Linked DNA regions of Oryctolagus cuniculus. The protein of the gene in region 5 interacts with the protein of the main gene of each other region in a biochemical or structural test. Links are inferred from orthologs where the notes say so. Each region holds a gene or a part of one and is shown on either strand. Other genes may lie near its edges.

Region 1 (4,027 bases), on a different chromosome or scaffold from region 5:
TTCCCCAAGGGAAAATGATCAATTCCTCAGGGACAAAGACCAAAGTTGTTGTTTTAAAATTCCTTTATTTATTTCAAAGGCAGAATGACACAGAGAGAGAGAGAGTTTAGTGATTAAGATGCTGCTTGGCACACCATATCCCATGTCAGTGCCTGGGTTCTAGTCCTGGCTCCTCCATTTCCAGTCCAGCTTCCTCTGGGAGGCAGCAGGTGCTGGCTCAAGTGCTTGGGTCCCTGGCACCCAAGCACCCAAGTTCTGAGCGTCTGGCTTCAATGTGGCCCAGCTCCAGCTGCTGCAGGCTGTTAGGGAGTGAACCAGGTCAAATAAGACTTTTTTTTTTTCCCCAAAAAGGCGAGAGCAGCCTGAAGCTGTCGTCTTAACTCTCCTGGCACACTCTATTGAGAGAAGAGAGGTTGAGTTTTTTAAAATAGGACTGATCTGCTTAAAAAAAAAATTTTTTTTTTGTAAATTTGAGACAACTGTAGATCCACATCAAGGTATAAGAAACAAAGCAGTGACATCGACGAGACACTTCACCCAGTTCTCCCCAGTGGTAGCAGTTTGCATAACTGTACCAGGGCGTCGCGAACAGGAACCTGGCAGGGCTACGATCCGCCGGCCTTATTCCACCACCCCCACCCCCGGGTTCACATCCTTTCATTCCCGTGAGTGTGTATTTCAGTCCGTTCAATTTTGCCATGAACGTGAGCTGCTTTTGAACCCCAGTTCTGCCAAGCACGTCCTTGCTGTGTGACCCAGAGCAAGCTCGTTGACTTCCGGGAGACGCAGCTTTATCCCAGGGCTGCCTCCGCAGGGCGATGTGGGGGTGTGAGGGTGAGGTCAGCTCGCTTCTGCCTCCAGCACCCCGGATTTCCCTAAACCCAGGTTTCCATGCTGGGTCCGAGGCCGGGCCCTGCAGCCGCAGCGGGGCTTTCTCCGGTCTCCTGCGAAAATAACGGACTCGCGGGCTGTGATAAAGCTCGCGAACCCTTCTGCACGGGCCTCACGCTTAACCCCGCAGCTCCGGAGGCCCGAGAGCGTGACCCGCGGACCCCTGCCGCCGCGCCGCCCGCCCGGCGCTCGGGACCCGCTTTGATGGCGCTGGGCGCAGGGGCGGAGGGAAGGGGGAGCGAGAATGCTGGGACGTTGGGGGAGCGAGTGGAGTAGCGGCAGGCGGAGGCGGTCCACACTGAGATACCGCTGGCCCGTGAGCCACAGACCCCCCGGAGGCTGCGCCGCGGGCAGGTGCGGCGGCCCGGCTAGACCCGGTGGGAGGCTCGCGCGCTCTCCAGGGCTCGGGGCTAGACCCTCCAGGAAATCCAGGTCCCGCCTCCAGGACCCTTCCAGGAAATCCAGGGACCGTAAAAAGCCCCCCCTCCCATCTCAAGGTCCCGCCGGCGGAGACGAGGTATGCCCCGCGTCGGCGGGGATGAGGAAGGTGGGAGATCAGGGATGCGGGGTACGTGCGGGAGCCTCTGCCAGCACAGGCAGACAGGCGGGGTTGGGGTTTGGGGGACGAGCCCGCCTCGTCCCGCGGCGACCTCGGGGGCGCACGCCTCCTCTACCCGCAGCCCGAGCCCGGGCGTCTCCAAGTTCAGCTGTCGGAGGCGGGGGCTCGGAGGGGGGCGAAGCATCCGGGAGGGCCCGGGCGGCGCCTCCCGCTCCTCCCTCGGCCGCTGGAGCCGCGCGAGCCGCGGAGGAGGAGCCGCGCCCCGGCCGGCGTCGCCCTGACTCCTCCTCCTCCTCCTCCTCCCCGCGCGGGCCCAGCGCTTCCTCCCCGGCGTGCAGAGCTCGGGGTGCCCGCGGCGGAGCCGGGAGCCGAGCGCGCTGGGCGCGGCCGTCCCGCCGCTGCAGCCGCCGCCGCCAAGCCCCAGTGCGCCCGCGGCCATGGTCCCCGCAGCGGCGCCGGGCGCCTAAGCCCCGGGACGCGGTAAGCTGGGCGCCCACCCCGGGGCCCCGGGCCGCGGCCTGGGGAGCGCGGAGGCCTCTTGCGCCGGGGGTGGCCGCGCACAGGGACCGGGGAGCTCCGGGGACCAGGCTGGGCGGGGACGGGTCTGGCGGGGGCTGCCGGAGGCCCCGGGAGCCGCGCTTTTGTGAGCGCTGCCCGTTACATGTAGAAACGACGCCCGCGCCGGTCTCGATGCGCGTCCTTTTGAAGGACGCGCGCCCGGAGCCGCGGCGCAGGCTGCTAAGTATTGTCCCGCGTCCCGGGCCCTAACAAAGCGTCCTCCCCGGCTCTGCACAGCGCCCGGCGCCGCCGGAGGCCCGCGGAAGGTAGGCTGCGGCCGGCGTGAGCACGCCGGGGTGGCCGCGCAGGTTGCCAGGGACGCGGGGGGCATTCGCGCCTCCCCCGGCTGCCCCCGTAGCGTCGCCCCGGGCCCCGCCGGCATCCCCGGTCTGAAGCTGCCGTGGTTGGCGGGGTGGGAGGGCGTGCACGGGGCAAACCTGGATGCCCAGGAGCTCGGAGGGTGGCAGTCGCGGAGGCGTGCGCCCCCGGGGCAGCCCGGCGCAGGAGCCGCCGCCGAGGGAACCCTGGGTGTCCGCTTGCACCGTCGGAGGGTGGAGGGGGAGCGCGAATGCGACTTTGCCAGCGTCATGCCGGGGGCCGGGGCGGGGGTGGGGTGGGGGGTGTGCGAGAACACGGAAAGCCCCGGCCGCCACACTTGCGGGCTGGGAGTGTGCAGCTTCGGGAGCGGAAGCTGCTGGGGTCCCCGGGTGGGCCCCGCAAGGGGATAGCTGCGCGGGTAGTCGCCGCCGCTTTACAGCTCTTCCTGTGAAATTGAAAGAGAGCGAGACAGAAAGAGGCGACTTCCCAGCCTCCGCCTGACAACCCGGGGTTCAGGTGGAAGTAAAGTGGGGGCTTGTCCCGCCCGGGGGCGGTGAGTCCAGGCGGGTGGGATACGGTGACGTCTTGCGCTCGCTTCGCCCAACGGAGCCAGAGCCCCCGGGGTTCAGGAGGCTGCGGGCTGGGCCGTCCCGCCCGGCTCCTGACTGCGTTAAGTCGGCACACATTGCTGGGACTCCCAGCCAAGTCCGTGGGGGCGCGGGAGCCGAGCCCCTGGGTACCCGGCAGCGGCCAGCAGGGTCCCTGCAGGTACTGTGACATCTGAGGCTTTTCCAGCGCCAAGGGATTGGCTTCCTCCTCCTCCTCTTCTCTCCCCCTTCCCCTTTAGCTAAAGGTTCTCTAATGATGAGCGTATTAGCTTGGCGAGTGACCCGGGTTATGGGGTTGATCCTTGCTCTAGAGTTGAAGGGAGCTGTGAAAATGGCCAGGCTGCAGAGACAGGCACAGCACAGGCCGGCTGAGAATGGAGTCTGGGGTCTCCTCCGCCCATGGCATTGTCCTCCCGGAGGTGATGCGAATGGCGGGGGTAGCTCGTGTGTAGAATCTCACCTGTGCTCTCAGCGTTTCTGCGGCGGAAGCCCGCTAAACTGCAGGGTAGAGAAAGCAAACGGGTCGGACAGCAGCACAGAGACGGGCTTGGGGTGGGGGTGAGGTTGGGGGGCGGCAGAGAGAAAGCCGCCCTCAGCGTGGCCTTGGCATTGAAATGTCAGGAATCGGTTGTGTTTATAGGCACTTGTTCAGAACGACCTGCGTTTCTTTTTTCTTGTTCCTTTTTTTTTTTTTTCCATTTTTTATATGTAATGACCCTGAGTATCAAAAGATGCTGTCACACACACGGAGAATAGGGCGCCAATGAATTCTTAACAGGTGATCTTAATTTAGCAGCCAATATTATGGGTCAGATGTTGAAATAGCATGTTTTAAATGTCACTGCAAATGACTTTCTAAACTAATGTTTCACCAGTCTTGATGCTTCCAGTTTATGTTGATAATGAAAATGCATTTTATCAGTCTTACGTGGATACAGGGCTGGTAGGTTTAGCTAGAGTGTTTGAGAGACATTCATTAGCCTAAAGCCATTTGAGGAGGCTTATTTTTGTAGCTTCCAATTCATTTGTAAGCCAATAAATAATGCAGCTTGAATTCTGGCTATTTAGTTTGCATCTGTTCCACAGGGCCTTA
Region 2 (3,513 bases), on a different chromosome or scaffold from region 5:
TGAGGGGACTGGGCTGGGGAGAGCGTGCTGGGCTCTGAACACCCCTGGGTTCCTCAAGGCCATCAGTGCGGAGACTGATGCGTCTGCTGCTGGCTACCCTGGGGGCTGCCAGTAAGGGAGCTGCGCCCCCACCAATGCTGCTGCCACTGGTGGGCACCTCTCTAATTCCTCCACGGCCCCCCCCCCCCCCCCACCGCCATTCCTGCAGCCCCGCTGAAATTGCTCTCTCCACAGAGGCCACGGCTGACCAAGCAGATGAACCCAGAGAGCCACCTCAGAGCGTCAGGTTTGCATCTGGGAGGGGGCATGCAGGCACGAACCTGGGTCCTGGCTCAGGGAGGGCGGGTGTGTGGTTGAGGCTCTGTGGCCTCTTGCTGGGGCGTAGCCTGGTGCTGATGCTGCAGGTGAGTGCTGGCGTGGGAGTCAGTGACCAGAGCGTTGGCCACATCCCTCTGACCTGCTGGCTGTGTGACCTCAGATCAGCCACCTCCCTACCCCTGGGCAGCAGCGGGTGCAGCCCCTTTTAGTAGCAAGCCCTACGGCCTGGGCCTGGTTCTTCACCGGGGCCAGCTTTTTGGGGAGTGGCTGGGCTGCAGTGGTCAGCCCTGTGACCCCACGCTGCTGCTCCCTGCACCTCGACAGGAGGAAACGCAGCTACAAGCAGGCCATGTGTGAGCTGGATGAGGAGCAGCACCTGGAGGACGAGGAGCTGCAGCCCCCCAGGAGCAAGACCCCTTCCCCGCCCTGCCCCGCCAGCAAGGTGAGCCAGGCTTCTCCCCCACTCAGGGTCCGCCCCACCTGCCGAGACCTGACCTTGCTGGTCTGCAGGTGGTGCGGCCTCTCCGGACCTTCCTGCACACAGTGCAGAGGAACCAGATGCTCATGACCCCGACCTCGGCCTCGCGCAGCAGCGTCATGAAGTCCTTCATCAAGCGCAACACTCCCCTGCGTGTGGACCCCAAGGTGAGTGGGCCCCCGCCCCACAGCTGGCACGAGGCTGCTGTGAATAGCATGGGTTGGGGTAGAGGAGGGCATGGCCTGGCCCTGGTCAAGGGCCAGCTTTAGCCATGTGGCCGCGGGCAGCCCTGTATTTTGGGGACACTGTCCTGGGCTGCAGTCATAGCCCAGGGGCTGGGCCAGTTGGTGTGAGCTGGGTCTCAGGCCCTGTGCTGGGAAGGTGCAGGATTGGCTAAGCAGACCCCCTGCATTGCCCACCGATCCCCCCAGTCTTAGTGGGGAGAGAGGCACACGTGTTCGCCTTCACTTTAGGGGACAATTTGGGGGGGTGTGTGAGCTGAGATGAGGAAGGAGGTCCTGAGAGGGTGTGAGCCCCGGGCAGACCCACTGGCCCAGCTGGCGTGTGGTCTGCCTTGCAGGACGACCCCCAGCCTGGCATTAACTCTTGGCTTTCTCCTTGTCTCCTCTTCTCCTCCACAGAGCAGCTTTGTCGTAAGTAAAGCCTCTTCCTGTCCTGTGACTGAGCTCCACCGGGTGCTTTCCCGCCATAGCCCTGTTACATAACTGATGCACTGTAGAAACGCTAACATCGTGCTGGGAGGTGGGGGTGGCTGGCTGGAGATACCGCAGTTTGGGGGCCGCGTGTCCTCCCTCTGCAGAGCCCGTCCCCTCTGCCTGTAACACTGCTCCCAGAGGGAGGCGAGCAAGGGTGTGACCTGCGGTGTTTCCTCCCTGCCCCTCTCTAGCACTGGGTCCCTCTGGGGTCTGTGAAGAGAACAGACAACTTTCTGGGATTTCTAGAGCCACTGGGCCTGAGTGCAGCCCGGAGGTGCAGAGGGAGGGGGCAGGGCAGGGCAGGGCAGGGCAGGGCAGGTCTGACTACACTGTGCTTGGAGTCTGGGTCTTGCTGTGTGGGTGGCAGTGGAGCTGTCAGCCGTGGCTTCTGGAAACCTGGCTGCAGAAGCTGCTCTCTTCTCAGACACCTCAGGGCCTCTGTCTGCTCCTGTCTACTTCTCCTGGTCCTTTCCGGGGTTTTCGTGAATATTTTCACCGTTCCATTCTAACTTGTCTGTTGTGATTTTGACCAAATGACATCTAGCACTTTAGAGTCATTTAGTGGTTGTTCTAGTGTTCCATACTCAGCCCTTCATGGTATCGAGAGTCCGTGCTGTTCAGCTGGAGTGCAGAACCCAGCACCACACCTGCCCCTTTACTGTCCCCCACTGTGTGCTGTGATAGTCTAAGACATCACTTCTACCGATGGTCACTGCCATGTTAGACGTGTTGTAATTTTTCTTTCAGTTGTAGAATTGTAGAACGATTAGGGCACAGGCGTTTGCCTAGTGGTTGGGATGCCTCACTCACGTCAGAGCGCCTGGGTTCAGTACTTGGCTCTGCTCCTGACTCCGCGTCCTGCTGATGCACACCCTGGGAGGCTCCAGTGACTGTGCTCCTGCCTCTGGATGGCAGACCTGGACTGTGTCCCGGGCTCCCCGTTTTGGCTTCAGTCTGGCTGAATCCTGGCTGTTGTGGGTATTTGGGGGAGTCAACCAGCACATGAGAACTCTGTCTGCCCCACCCCCCCCCTGAATTAATGACCAATTGAACAAAAAGGGAAAAGAGTACAAGGCTACTCTATTATATTTCTTCAAGTCTTCACTTCTGTCGCTCCGCCTTTGTTCCTGGTGTTTTAAGCGTTTCCTTCTGGTATCGTTTTTCTTCTCCCTGAGGCACTTCCTGTAGCAATTCTTTTGGAACAGGTTGGCTGGCAGCTGATTCTCTAGTTTCCTTTCATCTGAAGATTGCTGGTTCCCGTTTTCTTTCCGCAGAATATGCCACTGGATATAAAGTTCTTTTGTTTCTGCACTTTATTTTTATTTATTTATTTGTTTTTTTTTTTTTTAAGATTTATTTATTATCTTATTTGAAAGTCAGTTACACAAGGAGAGAAGGAGAGGCAGGGAGAGAGAGAGAGAGAGAGAGAGAGAGAGAGAGAGAGAGAGAGAGAGAGAGAGAGAGGTCTTCCATCCACTGGTTTGCTTCCCACTTGGCTGCAAAGGCCGAAGCTGTGCCGATCTGAAGCCAGGAGCCAGGAGCTTCTTCCAGGTCTCCCACAGGGGTACAGGGGCCCAAGGACTTGGGCCATCTTCTACTGCTTTCCCAGGCCACAGCAGAGAGCTGGATTGGAAGTGGAGCAGCTGGAGTGCTTCAGGCCAGGGTGTTAACCCTCTGCGCCACAGTGCTGGCCCCTCTTTCCGCACTTTAAAAAGTCCCCTGGCCTCGGTGATTTCTGATGGGAAATCTACTCTGAGCTGCTTGTCCTTTTTCTCTGGTGGCTTTTGGCATTTTCCTTTGTCTTTAATGTGTCTGGTGTTGGATTTCTTAGGGTTTATTGTGTTTGTGGTTTGCTGACCTTGAATCATAGGTCTCTGTGTTTCATCAGATTGAGACTTTTTTAGCTGTTATTTCTTGAAATGTTCTTTTCAGCATCACCCTTTGTCCTGTTCTGGGATGCAGTGCCAAGCGTGTAGACCTTTTGGTGGTGTCTCCCAGTTT
Region 3 (3,994 bases), on a different chromosome or scaffold from region 5:
GCTCCGCTTCCCATCTAGCTCCCTGCTAATGTGTCTAGGAAAGCAGTAGAGGATGGTTCAAGTGCTTGGGCCCTTGCACTCATGTGGGAGACCTGGAAGAAGCTCCTGGCTTCGGCCTGGACCAGCCCCAGCTGTTGTGGCCATCTGGGGAGTAAACCAGCAGATGGAAGATCTGTCTTTCCCTCTCTCTGTAACTCTGTCTTTCAATTAAAAATAAAAAATTAAATATTTTTTAAAAACATGGAATAGTGATAGCTACTGGGCTGCTCTAGTTATTCTTCAGTATATTCAAACTCTTCAATTTCCACACCCTAGAATAATATATGCAGTTCAACTAAAGAAAAGTTGGTATATACAGTTATAAATACAAATTATCTATATATCATCCAATTCACACAGCTAAAGCAATCACTGACAGTCACCAGATCTGGGAAGGTATTGTGACTCTTAAAATTAGATTTTATTCTCCAAATTAAATCTTTTTTCAATAAGAGATCTCAAAACAAAGAGATTTAATTAGCTTTGGGAAAATTTCAAATTGTTGGTGACCTATGGCCACCAAAGTCCAACTAACAATTAGCATTCATTACTGCTTATCCTGCCTTACACAAGTCAGCAAGTCAGCGCACAGTCCTTTCTTTGGCAAAGTTTTGCACTGTTTTTCTTCTAAGAGAGTCTTTGATATTAAATGAAAGGAGCAAGTCAAATCAGGCAACAACAACAAAAATTAGTGACAGTTTGGAAACTATCTTCCTTCTGTCTTCCCTATTTGGATGCATAATGTCCAAAGCAGATATCTGTTCAATTCTAAATTATTCATGCTAATGGATAATTATTGGCAAAAAGGTGCTGATAATCCAAAACGGGGAAAAATCTAAACAAAATCTATTTTGGTTTTGGAATATATGTTTTGCGTATATTTACCTTCTCAATTATCCCTAGCATGAGCTAATATTTGTACGCACTTGCAATCTCTAAGTACATAGCAACTGGCCACTTAGGTGGGGAGGTGCTCCAAGTCAGGCCAGTTGATAGTGGAAATTAGAACAGACTGCTATTCAGCCTGAAGATGAGCAACATGCATTTCAATTATTTTACAGTGCAGTTCAGCTTTCAGAATATCAATAGACTACCAGTCCTCTGTCCCAGTCTCTAGCTAATGTGCAATAGGTAATAGGTGATTTCTCAAGTGCCTGAGCCCCTGCCACCCACATAGGCGACTCAGACTGAGTTCCAGACTCCTGGTTTCAGCCTGAATGCTGTTGCCAGCATTTGGGGAGTGAACAAGCAGATGGAAGATGTTTGGCTGTGTGTGTCTGTCTGTCCTTCAACTACTGGGATTAGTCACCCTGTTGGACTAGATTTACCACCTGTTCTCTCCACTGTCCCTTCCCACCTATGAAACAGGTTCTAAAAGACAAAGAGACTCAAACGCCTCAAAGATCTCCCAAACAGTACAAGAAGCTAAAGACCAGCCTCTGATTTTTTAAATAAAGCATTCCTATAGTATTTATTAAAAGTTCAGGAGAAAAAAAAGCCAAAGGACTGCTAATCCTTGGCTTTACATTCATGAAAAGAAAACTGTGAAAATTGGGGGACGGGGGAAGGAACCCTTTTACATGAAAACATTTTTACAGTTTCCCTTGTCAGCTCCCTTTAACTTTCAAAATTTTACATGTGCATTGCGCCCAGAGAAGCCACCTAGGTTAGGCGGACAGACTGTACCAGGAGGGGGGAGCGCGCGCCTCGGAACGCAGCTCCTTTTGAGCCGACAAGCTAAAAATACGCCGGCCCAGTAAACAAATCCCATTCCATCCCGAACGGAGCCACACCGTTAACCTAGTAATTATGAGAAGGGTGAGATCACGCAGCCCCCGGCTTACTCATCATCAGCTTCTAAAGTTTCCATCGGCTCACGGCAACTTTGCCTTTTTCTAAAGTTCACAAGCGTGCCCTAGAATCTCTCAGGCGCGCGCACCACACACACACACACACACACACCTTTTTCGCTCCCTTCCTCCATTACTGGACGCACCTCAGTTTGGCTACCCACAGGGAGAACAAGCTTGTTGTCTTTTCGTTTGACTTTTATACTGAGACGTTAAGATGAACTTTTATCCTACCAGGGGGCTAGGAGCCCGCACGGTAGCCACCTCACAAACTCCGCCATCCCTCCCCGAAAGTCTAGCTGACAAGAGGGGACCGTCCACACCGCCCCGCACAGCTCAGGAGGGGAGGCCAGGAACCGGGGAGGGTGGCCAGACACGCGGGACGCAGGTGGAAGGGAGGCGCAAAGGAGAAGAGGTTGGGACGAAGCGAGGAGCGGCCAGGGCGAGGAGGGGGTGCCCGGGAGAGATGGCTTCGGGTGAGATACAATCAGAAAGCAGCAGGGGGACAGTGGCGATCAGAGGGGCAGAGTTTGGGAGTCGGAAGAGGCGGGAGGGGCGGGAGCGGACGGGAAAGGGGTCGGGGCGGGGGGCTCCGTTACCCTCGCGACTCCCGGGGCAAGGCCCTAGGCCGGGGCGGAGCACGGGGCCCGGCCGCCTCTCCTCATTCCTCGGCAGTGACCCCCGGGTCCGACCGGCCCCTCCCCCGACGACGATGGAGGCGGAGGCGGCGGCGGACACTGCGACCGGGGCTGTTGCTCCACACAGGACCTGGAGCTGAAGCCAGACGGGACTGATCGGGATTGGCCTCCCTCTGTGGCTTTTTGCCTGCTCCACACCCGGTCGCCACTCCGACTCCGGCGGCTGGTTCAGGATCGGTGGCTTTCGGCCGTCCGGCCGGAAACAAGCGCCAGTTTCCGGCCGGAGCGGGTTGGTGGTGACACCCAAGCCGCCCCCGGGCCTCCTCCCGCCCCGCCCCGTAGCAGCCCCGCCTTCAGCGCCGCTCCCGGAGCTGCGGCCGGTTTGGCGCTTGCCCCGCGCGTGACCCCGTGTTTTCCAGGCCCGCGTTCCTAATGCCCGTGGTCTGGAGCATTCTTGAACCGGAGCTGGGGGGAGGGAGGGGGTGGACCGGGTGGATTCTTGAGACTTCGGGGCAGAATTAGTTGGCCCCAGCCCTTTGGCAAGGAGCGGAAAGGGGTGGGGTGGTTCTGGAAAGGTGAGAGGTACGAAAGTACTTTAGAACGAGGAGACTGAAATTCTGGTTCACCTACACAGCTGTTCTGGACTGACCAGAGGAAAATGAACGCTTCTTTCAGACCGGGCTCCGGCTGGTTGTGCATGTCCCTTGCTACTTCACTCTTGAAGTGGACTACCCTTCTCAGTAAATACTTGGTATTTGTTTACTAGCCTAATGGTTATTGACACGTCTGCCTTAGACTGTTAGGCATAATCCAAACAAGTTAGGTTGGGGCCGGACTTGGCAGCCAGCCAGTTAAACTGCTGTTTCTGATGCCCACATCCCATACCAGAGCGCCTGGCTGGAGTCCTGGCTACCCTCTCTGATCCACCTTCGTGCTTATGCACAACCCCGGGAGGCAGAGCCGATGATGCAAGCGCTTAGGTCCCTGCCATCACACTGGGGGAGACCCAGATGGAGTTCCAGGTCCCTGATTTTGCCTTGGCCCAGCCCTTTCTGTTGCAGCCCTTTGGGGAGTGAACCAGCAGATGGAAGATCGATCTCTCTCTCTCTCTCTCTCTGCCTTCAAGGAGATGGAAATAAATAAACATTTTTTAAAGTTATGCCGCATTTTTGTTTGTAAAGCTTTTTACAACATTAGAGCATAATTCAATTCAGATACTTATTGAGTCCCTACTCTGTGCCAGACATTGTGCTCAGTGATACTGAGAATAGAAAAATCAACAGACATAATCCCAGATATCTAAGATCTTACAATTTAGTAAAGTACATAAAACAGTATTGTATAAGGCAGAACTCACATATGTGCTGTAAAAATTATAATGTGGCATGGTTATGAGAACATAAATAAAGCCATTCCTGCCTCTCAGACCTTCCACATGTGTTAAATGAATGTGTACATGGCAGAAGA
Region 4 (3,516 bases), on a different chromosome or scaffold from region 5:
TGTGAACCCTACTCGATTCCGAGCCGTCTTCCAGAAATACGTTCCCTCCTTCTCTGGATACAGGTGGGAGAGTCTGGCCATGTCTGAGGGTGAGGCCAGGTGGGGGCCTGGGCAGTATTGTTCTGGGCCTGGAGGTGTTTTTATCCTGCAAGTGGGGACCCCATCTGGGCAGGGCTAGTGTCTGGATGAGGACGGATCGTGGCCCACACTCTCTCGTCTGGCTGTAGCCAGCAGGATGCCCAAGAGTTCCTGAAGCTCCTCATGGAGCGACTACACCTTGAAATCAACCGACGAGGCCGCCGGGCTCCCCCGATCCTGGCCAACGGTCCAGCTCCCTCTCCACCCTGCCGAGGAGGGGCGCTGCTAGAGGAGCCTGAGTTAAGGTAAGGGCCCGTCCCTGCCCTCGTACCCCCGGGAGTTCCGCAGCGACATGCAGCCTTCACAGAACCCTGCTAGTCCAGACTGAAGTGGCAGGGGCTGGGAAACCCTTTAGTGTACAAAATGGTTTAAGAAGCAGTGCAGAAGTGAAAGGAAGGACGTGGGGGAGGAAGACTGAGGGGTGCAGATGGAGGCAGAAGATATGCTGGGGACGTCACTCAGGAGGGAGGGGACAGTTTATAACAGAGCTCCTTAGAAGGGTTTGAAGCTAGGTGGAGGGAGACAGCCTGTTCCCTTGTGTACATTTTCCTTTCACCTTGGATTTCCCCCAGAAGTCCCTTGAAGCATGACTCCTTTGACTTTTCCTGGAAGTCCAGGGGAGGAGCTGGGTTGTGGGTGGCGTGCAGGGCTCTGTGGTGTTGGGGGTTCCCAGTGCTCCTGCTGCCTCACGGGTGCTCCCCACTTCCCCTGATCTGTGGTAGTGACGATGACCGAGCCAACCTAATGTGGAAACGTTACCTGGAGCGAGAGGACAGCAAGATTGTGGGTATGGAATGGGGGGAAAATGTGGGAACACGAGTGGGGGTGGGGGAGGGGTACACAGGCTTCAGAGGAAAGAAAAGCTGGCATTGTCAGGGGGGTGAGAGCAGGACCGGGTGATGGAAACCAGAAATAGCGTGGGGAGTTTGTTTGGAGTGTTGGTGGTGGGAACGGACCCGGCCAGGGAAGAGGCGGGTATCAGAGAAAGCTTGTCAGGCCCCCAACAGTGACTCGTTCTTCTGTCCCTTTGCTTCTGTCCAGACCTGTTTGTGGGCCAGTTGAAAAGTTGTCTCAAGTGCCAGGCCTGTGGGTATCGCTCCACGACCTTCGAGGTTTTTTGTGACCTGTCCCTGCCCATCCCCAAGGTGGGATTCCAGAGGATGCCAGGGGTGGATGGGACGGGGGTTCTGTGACCCGGCCCTAGCCACCTCCAGAGTGCGGGCGGGACTCCTGTGGGTCTCTGGAGCGGAACTGACGCTGGACTGATTGAGAAGAATCCGAAAAGGAAATGGAGACCACACTGACCCTCCCTTCCCTGTTGCCCCCTGCTCTGCAGAAAGGATTTGCTGGGGGCAAGGTGTCTCTGCGGGATTGTTTCAGCCTTTTCACCAAGGAAGAAGAGCTAGAATTGGAGAACGCCCCAGTATGTGGGGGTTCACAAGGGATGTAACAAGGGTGGGACAGGAGGGGGCCTCCTGGGGAAAAGGGACCGCGAGATGCCTTAGTGTGGGAAGAACTCACATGTCTGGGCTTGTGTTGGAGCCTCTGGTACACGGCCTGGTGCTCCTAGGGCAAGGGGGTGCGGCCGGGGTTACGGCAGCAACGGGGAGCACACCACATTTGAGAGTGGACTGCGCTGGAGCCGCCTGGGGGGAGGAGCGCATCAACCTAACACCATTTGGCGTTTATTCAGGTGTGTGACCGGTGTCGGCAGAAAACGCGGAGTACCAAAAAGCTGACAGTGCAGAGGTTCCCCCGAATCCTCGTGCTCCGTATCCTAATCCTCAGTTTCTTATTTCTCTTAGGCTATCTCCCCTGCGTTCTCTTGCAGAGGCTGGCCACGGGGAGCTGAGGTCTCCTTAGGAAAAGCCTAACCCCCAGCCTTCCTTCCAGGGCGCCCAGTATGGGTCGGGGGAGGGGAGAGGACACTATTCAGGCCCAGTCCCCTCTAGAGATCCCCCCGCCTCCCAATGCTCCTTAACCAGGGCTTAGATCTGAATCGATTTTCCACCTCCCGAGGCTCCATCAAGAAAAGTTCAGTAGGTGTAGACTTCCCGCTGCAGCGACTGAGCCTAGGGGACTTTGCCAGTGACAAAGCCGGTGAGTCTGGTGGGGAAGGCCCCATGGAACCCTGAGAAGGGGGCACTGCACTGTTCTAAGGAGTTCTCCAACCCCTCAGGAAGCCCTGTATACCAGCTGTATGCCCTTTGCAACCACTCGGGCAGCGTCCACTATGGCCACTACACAGCCCTGTGCCGGTGCCAGACTGGTTGGCATGTCTACAATGACTCTCGGTGAGAACAGCCTCCTCTTGACTCCCGCCCGTTCCTGCTGCAGCCCTGACACCCTGCCGTGAGGCCCACGGGAGCAGAGTGCCTGGGGACAGGCGAGCTGGGGTCTCTCCTGAGCGCTCCCTGGATGCCCTGGGGTTGTCTAGTGGGGAGGAGGGACTCTACAAGGCTGGTGACAAGCCTCTCTCCCCATCTCCCTTCCTAGTGTCTCCCCTGTCAGTGAAAACCAGGTGGCATCCAGTGAGGGCTACGTGCTGTTCTACCAACTGATGCAGGAGCCGCCCCGGTGCCTGTGACGGTCCCTTTAAGCCCTGGCACCTGTGAAACCCTTTCAACACCCTTCAGCCCCAGGCTTCCCATTTACCTCAGAGACGTCTATTTTTGTGTCTTTTTAATCAGGGAGGGGGGGAGGGGGTGGCTGTAGCTCCCGTTATTTTTTTTATTAAAAAGTACCCTTCCAACCTGGAGGCTCCCTTGTCTCCCAGCCCCCTGTACAGAGCTCACCAGGCCCCGGCCCATGTACAGCCCCCAGACCCTCTGCAAACTCACTTTTTTGTGAATAAATTTATTAAGAAAAAGTGATGTCCATAGTTGCATTTGTGCCTAGTGGATGGAGGTGAATGAATTGGGCCCGGGGATCTTGTTGGGACCCAGTTCTCTCTCTGAACAGATGGGGGGAGGGGGTGCTCAAAGTCCAAGGGGAAGGGTCGCGGGGTGGGGGCGGGGGGCGTGGACCCGGACATGTGTGCCTGAGCAGTGAAGGTTTTGTATTGGAAGAAGGAAAACTCCGAGGAGGCCAGAAAAGGGAATGCAGGCACTGGGGCCGCGGGTTTCGCCGGCCATGGGGGCTGCCCCTGGAGGGCGAGACACCCAAGAACCCCTGTTGACAAACATAGTACGTTGCCGGGCGGCCCTAGCTCCCGTAGGCCCCATCTGTTGCTAACATCAAGAAGCTGTTTGTGGAGCCGCCTCCCCGCGGACTGCCTCCAGTGTCTCCATCTATTTTCCCTACAACCAAACCTCACGAGGCCCTGCCTCCAGGGCTCTCGCCCTTATCTGGGCCTGGGACGCCTGAACTGGAGAATGC
Region 5 (3,513 bases):
ACAGCTCCAGCCATTGCGGCCAACTGGGGAGTGAGCCATTGGATACAAGACCTCTCTCTCTCTGCCTATCCTTCTCTGTGTAACTCTGACTTTCAAATAAGTAAATATATCTTAAAAAAGAGAGACCATTCCTTCTTTCTTGTAGGCATTTTTACTCCTAAGGGAAGCTCCGTGGAATACCAATTTCTGCATATCAAAAAGACATGGCATCCCACAGTGGTGTGGCACCATGCACACAATGGCCAGAGGTGCACTAAACAGGCTGGCCAGGCTCAGTGTGGACCCGGGGGCGCACAGCCCATCCCAAACAGCAGACATGCTTGCCCCTAGCCAGTGCTGGCAGCAGAAGGTATTGGCCTGATGTGGCCGGATTTTAAATATTAGCATCTGATTCATACTTAAAATGCAATAAAAGCAAAAACAATACACACACACTCCCACCCCACTGACCCATGTCATCTGCAGGCTGCCAGTTTGCAACCTGTGCTTAACCTAGAATAAAAAGTGCCATCCCCCTTAATTATCTGTCCCCAAACGTTTGCACACATATTTGACCTCACTGAGAGCACTAAGCCCTCAGGAGATGTTCAGCACTGCTGCATGTACGTCTACCGCATCTGTGAAAAACGACACCAGGACTCAGTCTTTGTGGCCTACACGCTTGGCCCTCTCAAGCTGACAGGCCGGCAGCCCGATCTCATGCACTCACCGCAGGTGGGACTGGATTTCCACTTCCCTTCGGAGCTGATGCTCCACGCCTGCTTTCTCCAGCTGAGCTTTAAATAACACTTTGAGGGCCAGGATAAACTTGCTTTGTTTCTCTCTTGCCAAATAAACATTACCAAACTTTCCTTTACCCAGTGGACGACCAATGTCAAAATCTTCCAAAGTCCACTGCCTTCTAGAAAGGAAATTCAACATTTTAAAATGTGGAAAACCAACCTTTAGACACATTCTACAATTTTATACTCAGAACTGCACCCAACATGCACCCTCAGCAAAAACCAAGCCAATAACCATTATTGAGTCACAAACATTAAACGTGGCATCCTCAGCCGCCATCACTGAATCAGTGACAAGGCAAGAATTTGGATTTTACATTGGGAAATGCTCCAGGCTGTCCTATGCACAGCAGTACAGACCTAACAACACAAAGACCACGTAACAGGGTAACTGGCGAGGGAAGAAGGCTTCCCGGCCCTCTGTGGAGCGCCAGCTGCCACCCTGAGAGGCTGACACCGTGTGTGCAGAACCATTCGGAGCAGACATGGACCCACTGCCATGAACAAAAGCAGGCTGGACTCCACAGGACAGATGGGGCAGGACAGCCACAGAACCGAGGTTCCAAAGCTTCCCAGGGAGCTCAATGCAAGAAAGTCTGGCTTCTCCCCTCATTGTAGAGTCCAGACAGTTCAGAGAACGCAGGCTGTCTACTGGGAACACCTGGGAAAGACGCTCGCGCCAACCTCTGCTAAAGAGCAAGTACAATCTTACTTACGCTGTCAGAATCTGTACAGACTGCTACAGGACACAGTTTAAGGCCTGCACACTGCATAGGAATGGAATTAAAGCATGGAGGCACACATAAACCCTGGGTATTAGCCACTTCCTTCTAGAAGCAGACAGCACCGTTACTCTAACAGATTCATCCAAGTTTTTTTCTAAATTTGAAAAGCAACTTAAGAGAAACATCTCAGTCCCTAAATATCAATTAAAATTCATTCTTTTTTTAAAGATTGGGAATCTAGAAAATTAACTAAATTTAAAATGAAACGATGCACTCTAGTAAATGAACACAGAGCTTTGTAAACAAAAAAGCTTACTTTTTAGATTCTTCATTTTTCTGGTTTGATGTCAGTTCCTTTTCAGGATTATTTCCTATATGGAATAAGTTTGAAACCTGTTTTTAGAATAACTACATACAATCAGAAAGTCATGGATACAAATGAATCAAAGAATGGCTGTGAAAATGTTAACTAAAATATAAGCAGTATGCCAAGAAGGAATAATCTGGGCTTTTAGTTTTCTCACAGCAAGAAGACTGCTACACCCTTACCTGACTCCCACATGAAGTCCACAGGGTTCCAGAGGAAAGGGGCAACACACCCAAGACCCCACAGACCCTCTCTGAAGCCACTTCCAGCCCGACAAGCTACCACCTGTCAACTTCCCTCACGGAGTGAGCCAGCCACGTACAGACTACAGCAAGTGCCCCAGAACAGGTAACAGAGCAGAAGCACCAAGGCACCCACTCAGCAAATGCCCAATAAACCAGTTGTGCGACAGAGGACTGGAGCAACTGCCTCCTCAGCCACAGGACATCCCACGGCACATCTCCACTTGCCCATCCCAGACACTTGGGGCCCTGACCACAGTCAGCACGCTCGGCTCAGGTATTAGACCGCAGGTCCAAGCCGGTTTCTGTTATTTCCATGCATGGTTCACCGACTCAGTTACAACCACTATTACGGCACAGGACACACAGCCCCAAATGTAACTGCAAGAAACGAGAAGGTGCCACCCAGTGTAGACTTCTTTGGCGTGATTTAAGCTGGTTACTTCAGGAGACAGCGGAGCTGGGAGCAGCCAGAAGGGCTGTCCTGTTCTCAAAGAAATGCCCATTTCTTTTTTATTTTTTTATTTATTTTATTTTATTTTATTTTTTTTTGACAAGCAGAGTGGACAGTGAGAGAGAGAGAGAAAGGTCTTCCTTTGCCGTTGGTTCACCCCTCAATGGCCATTGCGGCCGGTGCTGATCCGAAGCCAGGAGCTTCTCCTGGTCTCCCATGCAGGTACAGGGCCCAAGCACTTGGGCCATCCTCCACTGCATTCCTGGGCCACAGCAGAGAGCTGGACTGGAAGAGGGGCAACCGGGACAGAATCTGGTGCCCCGACCGGGAGTAGAACCCGGTGTGCCAGCGCCACAGGCAGAAGATTAGCCTAGTGAGCCGCGGTGCTGGCCTGGAATGCCCATTTCTAAAAGCAATCTCAGGCTGCCGCGGGAGAACTTTATACCCACGCAGCAAGACAGCCGTTTTTGTTTTTGTTTTTTTTTTAAGGAAAAAAAAATTAGTTGAAAGGCAGAGTTAGAGAAAGAGAGAGATCTTCCATCTGCTGGTTCACTCCCCAGATGGCTCCAATGGCCAGAACTGGGCAGAGCCGAAGCCAGGCATCTTCTTCCTGGCCTCCCACAGGGGTGCAGGGGCCCAAGCACTTGGGACTATCTTCCTCTGCTTTCAGAGGTGCATTAACAGAGAGCTGGATCAGAAGTGGAGCAGTCGGCGCCGCAGCTCACTAGGCTAATCCTCCGCCTTGCGGCGCCGGCACACTGGGTTCTAGTCCCGGTCGGAGCGCTGGATTCTGTCCCAGTTGCCCCTCTTCCAGGCCAGCTCTCTGCTGTGGCCCACACTGCAGCCGGCGCACCGCACTGATCCGAAGCCAGGAGCCAGGTGCTTATCCTGGTCTCCCATGGGGTGCAGGGCCCAAGGACCTGGGCCATCCTCCTCTGCATTC

Evidence for each region.
Region 1: of the proteins of AURKA (region 5) and NIN, one has a biochemical effect on the other in vitro, tested with the Homo sapiens proteins (2 studies listed by BioGRID). The link is inferred for Oryctolagus cuniculus from reciprocal best matches to the Homo sapiens genes AURKA and NIN.
Region 2: the proteins of AURKA (region 5) and INCENP form a complex in vitro, tested with the Homo sapiens proteins (3 studies listed by BioGRID and IntAct, with this or other methods). The link is inferred for Oryctolagus cuniculus from reciprocal best matches to the Homo sapiens genes AURKA and INCENP.
Region 3: of the proteins of AURKA (region 5) and OTUD7B, one has a biochemical effect on the other in vitro, tested with the Homo sapiens proteins (2 studies listed by BioGRID, with this or other methods). The link is inferred for Oryctolagus cuniculus from reciprocal best matches to the Homo sapiens genes AURKA and OTUD7B.
Region 4: the proteins of AURKA (region 5) and USP21 form a complex in vitro, tested with the Homo sapiens proteins (2 studies listed by BioGRID, with this or other methods). The link is inferred for Oryctolagus cuniculus from reciprocal best matches to the Homo sapiens genes AURKA and USP21.

The regions. Positions count from the first base shown.
Region 1 is NC_091443.1:25,352,311-25,356,337, forward strand, and holds the start of NIN (ninein), read left to right. Parts: upstream 1-1,222; 5' UTR 1,223-1,408; intron 1,409-1,796; exon of another isoform or gene 1,797-1,930; intron 1,931-4,027. UniProt on the Homo sapiens protein: Centrosomal protein required in the positioning and anchorage of the microtubule minus-end in epithelial cells. May also act as a centrosome maturation factor.
Region 2 is NC_091432.1:10,130,413-10,133,925, reverse strand, and holds part of INCENP (inner centromere protein), read left to right. Parts: intron 1-234; coding exon 235-286; intron 287-642; coding exon 643-760; intron 761-828; coding exon 829-963; intron 964-1,437; coding exon 1,438-1,449; intron 1,450-3,513. UniProt on the Homo sapiens protein: Component of the chromosomal passenger complex (CPC), a complex that acts as a key regulator of mitosis.
Region 3 is NC_091438.1:47,945,295-47,949,288, reverse strand, and holds the start of OTUD7B (OTU domain-containing protein 7B), read right to left. Parts: upstream 2,810-3,994; 5' UTR 2,489-2,809; intron 1-2,488. UniProt on the Homo sapiens protein: Negative regulator of the non-canonical NF-kappa-B pathway that acts by mediating deubiquitination of TRAF3, an inhibitor of the NF-kappa-B pathway, thereby acting as a negative regulator of B-cell responses.
Region 4 is NC_091438.1:37,627,675-37,631,190, reverse strand, and holds the end of USP21 (ubiquitin carboxyl-terminal hydrolase 21), read left to right. Parts: coding exon 1-63; intron 64-227; coding exon 228-383; intron 384-860; coding exon 861-925; intron 926-1,179; coding exon 1,180-1,283; intron 1,284-1,474; coding exon 1,475-1,561; intron 1,562-1,831; coding exon 1,832-1,910; intron 1,911-2,130; coding exon 2,131-2,238; intron 2,239-2,317; coding exon 2,318-2,432; intron 2,433-2,634; coding exon 2,635-2,725; 3' UTR 2,726-3,007; downstream 3,008-3,516. UniProt on the Homo sapiens protein: Deubiquitinates histone H2A, a specific tag for epigenetic transcriptional repression, thereby acting as a coactivator.
Region 5 is NC_091442.1:5,227,048-5,230,560, reverse strand, and holds part of AURKA (aurora kinase A), read right to left. Parts: intron 1,879-3,513; coding exon 1,824-1,878; intron 902-1,823; coding exon 710-901; intron 1-709. UniProt on the Homo sapiens protein: Mitotic serine/threonine kinase that contributes to the regulation of cell cycle progression.